Caenorhabditis elegans: one gene and its partner. The protein of the gene in region 1 purifies or fractionates together with the protein of each later gene. This does not show direct contact. Each region holds a gene or a part of one and is shown in the gene's direction. Other genes may lie near its edges.

What was found.
Region 2: the proteins of F32D8.3 (region 1) and Y26D4A.5 fractionate together in Caenorhabditis elegans (co-fractionation; one large-scale study listed by BioGRID). This does not show direct contact.

Annotation. Positions count from the first base shown.
Region 1 is NC_003283.11:10,884,260-10,889,469, forward strand, and holds F32D8.3 (TIL domain-containing protein), read left to right. Parts: upstream 1-2,577; 5' UTR 2,578-2,710; coding exon 2,711-2,891; intron 2,892-2,936; coding exon 2,937-3,004; intron 3,005-3,091; coding exon 3,092-3,580; 3' UTR 3,581-3,714; downstream 3,715-5,210. Other genes in the region: F32D8.2 (ATPase_AAA_core domain-containing protein), read left to right, coding at 1-5, 64-109, 153-266, 312-443, 491-706, 752-882, 926-1,006, 1,052-1,162 and 4 more; F32D8.11 (uncharacterized protein), read right to left, coding at 3,731-3,861, 3,913-3,985; F32D8.12 (D-lactate dehydrogenase (cytochrome)), read right to left, coding at 4,504-4,881, 4,930-5,210.
Region 2 is NC_003279.8:13,073,602-13,077,520, forward strand, and holds Y26D4A.5 (uncharacterized protein), read left to right. Parts: upstream 1-2,953; 5' UTR 2,954-3,020; coding exon 3,021-3,056; intron 3,057-3,113; coding exon 3,114-3,419; downstream 3,420-3,919.

The DNA of each region.
Region 1 (5,210 bases):
ATAAGGTTTGAACTATTTAATTTTTTGTCTTCAATAAGTCAATAACTCAACATATAACTTCAGATGCACCTTTTACAAAAATAGTGGGCCAAATGAGCACCCAATTAAGGTATGAAAGTTAAAATTAAATCTTTAATAATCATAAACATCAGGTTGAAAAAAATGTGCCCGTTAAAGTTCCATTCTACAATTTTGCTTTTGCTTGCGAAAGAAACGGTATTGTTGAATTTCTGAAACCCTTTGTGAATTTTGCATCAATTCCAAAAGTAAGATGAGTTAACAATAGAATCTAAAATTCAACACCATTTTAGAAATCAAACGGGGGATCAATTGCCATAATATTTCTTCCAGCAATAAATCACAAACTATTTATGAAGAAAATGCCGTTGAGTAAGCATTTCATGCAAGACAACCAGTTCAGATTTGCACAATTTATGAGCAAAGTAAGATGTTACTCGATTTTGTAATTATCAATATCGCTAATATTCAGAATGAACCAAATTCAATGCAAGATTTGTTACTACAACTTGGAATTTCAAATAAAATTAATATGTTCAGAAAAGCAAAGCAAAATAATTTTACAACTTTTTTCTCTGGTCCACAACAAATCAGATATATGATTGATGTAGATTATGATACTTTGGATCATCAGAATTTCATAACACAATTCTTAATTGATGGAAACTTATGTTTGAAAAATGGAAAAGTAAGTTTTATATTTCAAAAAAAGTTTATATCACAATTTTTCTAGAAATTAGTAAATGATCAATTGGAAAAAATCGGAGCATTTCTGACATCAACAGCAGATTCCAAGGTGTTTTCAGCAATGTTTATTGATGAATATGATGAATATCGTAGACAATCAATTGATCAAGATTTGAAGTATTATAAAAGTTTTTGAGGAAAAAAACGGACCTTTTTTCAGAAAAATGTTGGATCTATTAAAGGAATCAAACATTTTCGAGAACACTACACTAATCATCACTTCGTACGACTTATCAACAAAGTGAGATTCTTATTTACATTACATGTTAATTTGAACAATTTGCAGAGATATTGAAAACGAAAACGACAAATATCCAATGTTTGCTTTTCGTCCATCCAACCAATTCATAGAAAATAATAATCAGAAACTATATTTCATGAATATGAATTTCAACAGGTTAGGTCTAAAAATTATATTTAAAAAGAATATCTGAGTTTAGGTTATTGTCTTCTACTAATTTCAATCAAATGCTTGTTGAATTAATCAATCCGAAAGAAAAATCTTCAAAATCTGTCTTCATAGCTCAACCAACATCAAGGAACTGTACGTCTGAAGGAATATCAGAAAATATATGTTTATGCATGAATATGGTAATTTCTTTGAAAGTCGGAGAAAAATATAATTATACTTTCAATGTTTAGAGTACATCCTCTGGGTATCCTGAAAAAGGCGAAAAAAACTTCCTTCAAACATTGCGAACAAGATTTACACAAGAAGTGAAAACACACAAATGTGTTCGTTCGTTTGAACTTGAAGATTATAAAATTTTTTATGAATACTCAATTGGAACGTGCGTTATTTTATTTGTATTTCTCTACAATTAGATAAACTGTTGTTCAGAAGTAAGGAAGTACGTGGCGTAGAATTGACCGGATTTGTGAATATTATCAGTTCAAGGGGTAAGGTAAGTTCAATTAATTTTATCTTTTTTTGTTGCAACTAATTTGTTTTTTTTTCCAGAAAACCCTTTTGCTGAAAAAGATGTTCACCTTCAAACCGGAGTTTGCTTCATTTAATAGTTTCGATACAGCAAGGGTTGTTGTCGGTTATGAAGTTAACATTGGTATTGCAAGGTAGGGATTTCCGGTGGAAATTGTTTATTTATTAATCTGTTTTCAGCATGTGTGATTTGTAAAACAACAATCTCACAGGCACTGGCAAAGATTAATACGAGATTCCAAATTTCAGAATGTCACATATCTCACTATATAGTTTGTTCTTATTATTTTTCAAATTATATATGAAATTGATTTTAAGCATATTGTTTTTTTTCCAAAACTGACCCACATAAACAACGAATTTTCATCCCCCGTTTCACCTCATTTCTTTCGTCCTTCCTAGTTTTTCCCTCGCTTTCCATTCTCCTTTTTATTCGATTTTACGCCCTTTTCATCAGCTTTTCCCCTCAATCCTTATCAAATTCCATTACATCACCATGTTCCTCTGTGTTCTGTGATTGTTTCCATATCAATTAGTTCTGTACAGATGACCACCTTTTGTCCGAATCCCCAGCCCGTCTCGTTCGTCACGTTTTTCACTCACTTTCTTCTTCAGTTCGGTTCCACAAACGGCTTCCGTCTGCGTCTCTGAACATTGTTTCACTGTTTCTTCTCTCTTTTTTTTGTCTACTGAGACATACAAAACCTTGTAATAATATCTAGATGCAGGTCTCACCTTACTGTACTATTTTTCGAGATCTGAATTTCCTCGAGACTATTAAAGACGGACTGAAACAGTGGCTACTTCTGTAGAGTGAAGCCATGTTTGAATGTTTGAAGGCCGTTCCTCTAGATTTTTATAGCTTTTATCGGAATTGCCCATCATCATCAAATTAATAATATCGTATTCCTTTCCGATTCATATTCGCACCTTGCCATTCCATTTGTCTGAACTGTTCCATTTCCATCTCTCATTCATTACATTCACCTACATTCTCATTTGCAGATGCATACTCTCTCCATTTTATTACCTTTTCTACTTGTGTTATCCACATTTTCTCAAGTATCTCATGAGTTCCGGCATAAAGCTTTTCGAACATTGAAAACTCCAAAAGTCAATAAACAAAGGTTATCTTTGATTATTCAAAGACTACGTATGAATGATACCACTAGAATAAATGGAGAAGGTATGTAATTTGAATGGGAATTTAAATACAATTGAAAGGTTTCAGAAAACTGCCCTATGTTCCAATCATTTTCTCATTGTGCCTGTGAATCAACCTGCAACAATCCAGACCCGGTAAGAACCTTTTTTCTCAAATCCAATCGTAAATAACAGGCAAAGTTTCCAATAGTACTATTATCGGTATAATTCAAAAAATTCCAGTATTGCTCTAAATGTGAGCCTGGATGCACTTGTCGAAATGGATTTGTTCGGAATTCTCTCAAATTGTGTGTTCTACCGGAAGAATGCCCACGGACCAAACTTCGACGTTTTGAACTACAACCACCTAGACGACTCTATGAAGCCGTTCCAGTTGTTATCACAACTACCACAGAAGAACCTACTAGAGCAACAACTGAAGAGCCGACAACTGAACTTATAACAGCTACTGAAATTGCTGATGAACTCGTAACAGTACCACTGATAGTTCTTCGTAATGGACCAACACCTCCATCGGCTCCTCCAATGCTACAAGAACTCTCGTCTGACATGATCGGAGCTCCATCAGCAACTCCTCCTCCAGACTTTTCCTATGGGCCACCAGGAATGAATGCAGCAAAAGTTGCATTGTATGAGAATTTTCTCAAACAAAAACGAATTATGAGAGCTCTCCGTCATCGCAGAAACCGGTTTGCAAAGAGAATGTTGTAAATCTTGGTTTTATTTGATTAACATTTTATTTCATACAACAAGATCTCATAGATTCATTCAACTATAACAATTTTTATGAAAAACGATGTGCGGAAACATGTTAAATACAATAAAACAATTTAAATATGAACAATTAAAATCTCAATTTATCTACAATTTTTCATGATGCTTCCGATGTCTTTTTCCGATGGAAGCCACTTTTTTTGACGTATCTGGAACTATTTCAAAAACAGAATCCACCGCAACTCCAGTGTCATATTCATAGAGCTTATAGTCAATATCTGAAATAATTATTTGCTTTAAAAGTATGAAAGTAATCAAAAAAATGTTACCTTTGAATAATGGCACACATTGAATTTCACAAAATGCAAGCACAGTGAAATACAAAAACAATAAGAATTTCATTTTTCGAGATAATTTGAATCAAAGTGTAGTTTTCTGCAAGGAATTATCCACTAAAAAAGCAAAATCTTTTCCTTAAATACAATCCAGTCTTCCAGATTCTAATCCTTGTTCTTTTCTCCCGTGCCGGTGGGTATCATAAACGCAAATCCGCTTTATCAACTACGTCCTGAATAAGTGAAATTTCTGTCTTTTTTGGTATAAGCTTATAAGAAATTGGCTTCCGTTGTGAATATTCCTGGTGTTTGAATCATGTCGGATTCCAATTTGTTAGGTGCTCGACTTTTTATTTTATTTTTGAAGAAACATTTTTATAAAGGCAAGTATACAAAATCCTATCCGTCGTTCTTATTCCGCAAAAAATAGTTCGACATCGACTTCTCATATCTTATAGTTAAAAGAGGAATTGATATAAAATAGTGATAAATTTGTAGTGCCCAGTATTTAATTAAATAATTCAATTCAAAATAGTTGGGTAATTTTTCATTCTTCACTTCATTCTACTTACAGAAAATACGCATTTACAATTCTGGAAGGACTTTTCCTGGATTCATAATATTATTAGGATCCAACGCGTGTTTGATCGTGTGCATCAACCGTACAGTATTCTCTCCTAATTCTTCTCTCAAGTATTTTCTTTTTCCAAGTCCAATTCCATGTTCTCCAGTGCATGTTCCATCTGCAGCCAGAGCACGTCTTACAAGACGATCAGAAAACGATTGGATCTTTCTATGCTCAGTTTTATCTTCTTCAATTGTTGGGAGGATAACATGGAAATTTCCATCACCAACATGACCAACAACAGTTCCAAGAATTTCATGTTCATCTAGATCAGATCTTGTTTCTGATATCACATCTGCTAGTTTTGATATTGGTACACATACGTCTGTCGTGAATCCCTGAAATAAAAATTTCACACTTTTCAATTTCAAAATACCAAGACTCACTCTTGCTCCTGTTCTCATTGCAAGAGCAGCGTAGTATGCATTGTGTCGAGCTTTCCATAAAGTTGCCCTCTTATCAGGTGAGGCTCCAGAATCAAAATCTAGAGCTTCGTGACTTTTACAGATATCCTCAACAGCAGATGTTTGATCAGCTACTTCTTTTTCATTGCTACCATGAAATTCAATGAAAAGAGTTGGTGATTCTCGAAGGTTCAGGCTACTGTAAGAGTTGCAAGCTTGAATCTGAACTGTATCAAGAAGCTCAATTCGTGCCACTGGAATAT
Region 2 (3,919 bases), on another chromosome or scaffold:
TTGGAATGTTTTATCATGATATTTGGTTGTTTAGGATCATTATGAGTGCATTTTGACAAAATCCCCATTGGTGCTAATCCACCTTTAAAGAAAAAATGAGACATTACGTAGTCGTAAACCATCCGTAACCCGAATATACTTAGTCAATATTGGAATTCTACAATGACGTTCTTAGCAGGTATTTTCAACAATCATTTTATTAATAGCTTCATGCGAAAATAATATAGTGAACATATTACAACTCGATGCCTCTCCATGGAATTGAGAATTCGGCGTCGATTGAACAACATCTTTGATTGCGGCCGTACTCCTCAACTAACGAGTCCACGTTGGAATTCCCCGCGCCGATTGAGGTAGAGACCCGATTGAAAAACCATCAACATCGTTGGAGTTGCATCTGAAATTTGTTTAGCTGATTTCCATCGCTGATTTTTTTTTATCTACTCACGGTGCAGCAAAGAGGGCGTAATTAGGAAATTCCTTCATTGAATCATTTTTCCGCAAATAGGCACAATTGCTGAAAATAAACTTTCATTCACCAATAAAACCCAAAACACTGACTTTTCAGGCGCTTCTTTTGGCTCTCCAGGTCCCCATGTCATCGCAACCTTGCCTTCGGGACCCTTTACAGAAAATGATGGTTCACTCCACTTCCACGTCTTGTCCACTGGATCTCTCTCCAAACCGAGCCAGGTTCGAACGTCCTGGAATAATATATTTGCAAAGTTTTAGTTTATTCGCACGACGTTTTACCGAGTATCCGACAAAACCGACTCTGCTCGCAAGAGGGTGTGCAAGCGGCGTACTTTTTGCAGGTGGAAATCCCCCATTATCACTCGGAAATGCTCCCTCGTATCTTTCAATTAGCAGCTTCATTCCCTGAAGCTCGCAGAGCTCCTTCGCTTCCAGTTGAGTGATTCCTGGCGCAATGTTGTGCCAATAGCAAACTGAAGAGTTATCGATTATGCCTTGCTCAAGGAAGGACGTAAACTGGAATGCTGGGCATCCAGTTTCAGCAGGTATATATTGTGTCTGGTCGTCCTCTGTGGAAAATTTTTGTTTGTAGGATGGAGTTTATAGTTCACTTACTGTAAGTCATAAGAGCGTAGTATTTTGGAGAAGTTCTAACGCCAATGTATTGTCGCTTCATTAGTGGGAATAAATATGGGGACGGCATCTGGAAATATACCGGACTAGAATAATAGTTTGAGAGAACTACAAATGGATGAATATTCTTTAAACTCCACTGTGCTTCTCCACTAGAAGTATAGAGCCAATTTAGGTCCGCTTTTCACTATACACACATTTCCTGAGTTAGGGAAAACTACAAATTATAAACTCACATAATACTGATTATCCAACAGCTGTTCAGTTGTTAATGAGCATGACCGATTACTCAATGGTATTTTCAACGCCATACGATGCCCCTCGGATGCTTCGGTTCTTTTCAGGAAAGTTAAAGCGGATATCCAATACTTTGTGCATTGTTTAGTGGCCTCTATGTAATATACATTTGCACACATGCATTGTTCTTAATCTCTTGAATCGAATTCCACTGGAACAGATAACAAGGATCTGATGCATTTGACTGATAAGCCACGACACAATCAAACTCTTCCAAACACTTCTCTGTACATTCTTTGAATGAAGCCACTTGGATTATTGACGATGCATTTAACACTGTTGGTTCACCAGTGACAATTGCAAATTGGTAGGTAGAATTCTTGGCTCCAGAGTCTATTCCAGCAGTGAAGGGAAGTAACAGTACAGAAAGTATCACAGATACCCACATCTTGTGAGGCTCTGAGTGAGTGTCGGGCACATTTTATATGAAGGAAAAAGTCAACAAGCGGTTCCCACAGTTTATATCTAGAATAGTTAGATATTTTATGTTTTCCTTTTACTTTAGAGACTGAAACTTGGCAATCGTTGGTGATTTAAAGAACGCTATCACCTATAAGGCCATGGACATATGTAGGACCTCTTGATAATTTAGGCTGAAATGATTTTCAAATTATATTTAATTCGATATTAAAATTTTTTTTGACAATTTTACAAGTTCATGTTCACCTCAATTTTGATATTTTTGTTTTACAAATAATCGAAAAATTTGGGAAGCATAAATTGGACAAGATTTGCAGTAAAACTGGCACTTTTTGATAAATGTTGAGAAAGTGCCACACTATCAATTCAGGGTTCTTTTTCTATATGTACATTTTCTATCATTCTATAGACACTGACGGACTTCTTACACTTCTGACGGACGAAACACCTTAAATTAAGAATTTCTCATATCATTTGGGCTCACTGTATAATAATTTCCCAATAGATTTCCAAACATTTGTTAAGATTTTTGAAGAGATTCAAATAGTCTGCAAGGCCTCTTTAATGTTTCCGAACAATTTTAAACATTATTGCTTGGTTTTAGTAGTTCACCTTTCCAACCTTGACATCATCTCATTAATATTCGTCAGGCGCCAGGATGCATTTTGCGCGAATCGGAGCAATATCCATGACAACACCCGTTTTTTTCGGATCTCCATGCCATTTTGCGCCGGAATGGACCTCATTATTTTTGTTTGACATTCATCCTTCATAATATCCATGGTGATGTCCCCATTTTCTCAAACCTCCGTACAATCGGAGAAACACGCTTGTTTCATTCATCATGGTATTGTTGGGCGTCTGTGTGATGCTCTCTTTTTCTTCTGATTTTTTGGTAAACTGTGAGTTTTTGAAAAAGTTTTTCCAATTTGGAATAATTGAGCATTTACAGAAACCATCAGTAGCTGACTGCTTGGAGAGCGGTTTCTAGTTATTTGATTTTTTTTTTGAAAGAATTCTTCGGACTTTTTTAATCAGTAAGTTGGAACTGTTCTAGAAAAAATTATCAGCCTGCGACCGGTTGATCATAGAACTTATCCAATCAAATTTTTGTATTTAGGTGTCCTCCACGTCCAATTAGGTCTCAATTTCGTTGTCGAAGGAACTACGGATTTGATATGAGATGAGAGATCAAAATGAATGTGATCATTGTCTTCTACAACGGATATAAGGTGTGTTATTTTCAGTTCAACTAATTGAGGCTCAGTCAGTATAATAAAACGTTTCAGAGGGTAGCATTAATCGACCCATTGTACGACCCCGACTCCAAAGCACAACCAATTAAGTTTGAGAAAATCAAGTTAGTGGCCTACTTTGGCTGCTTCGAAAAAGTAAAAAAAATTTTTGATAAAATAAATCAGTTTTATATTTTATATTTTTCTTTTTTGCGTTTCCATGAGTTGAATCACTTTCCCCTTATTATATGTATCTATCTGATTTTTTTTTTTGAATATATAACGTTTCGATCCATGACTTCAGGGTTGTTACCTTTGGGCGTTTGTGTGATGCTCCATTTTTCTTCTGATTTTTTGTGAAACTGTAAGTTTTTGAAAAAGTGTTTCCCATTTGGAGTAATCGATATTTCAGAATCCATCCGATACTGACTGCTTGGAGAGCGGTCTCTGATTTTTTCGAACTTTTTTGAACGAATGTACTCGCTTTTTTATCGGTAAGTTGTCATGCACAAACTTTAAAGTACAAATTTTGTAGAGGATTATTTTAAAATTCTGTATTCAGCAGTGGCGTTTTGCTATAGATAAAAATTTTCTGATCAAAAAATCAGCTACTATAACGTTTCTAAAACAAACTCAATTTTTCATTTGTCAAAAGGTGTCCGTGGCGTTTGGTGAGAAATGCATCTTTACTTGTGGCTAATCATAAAACTTTTTCAATTAAATGTTTCTTATTTAAGAGTATAAGAATGGTTCATCTCCACAAACTTCATCGGAGCAGGGCTCACCGACCCGGATTTGAATAATGTGCTCCAGATGAAAATAGTGAAACTGGTCGAAGGTATTTAGTTGTTGTGGATGGA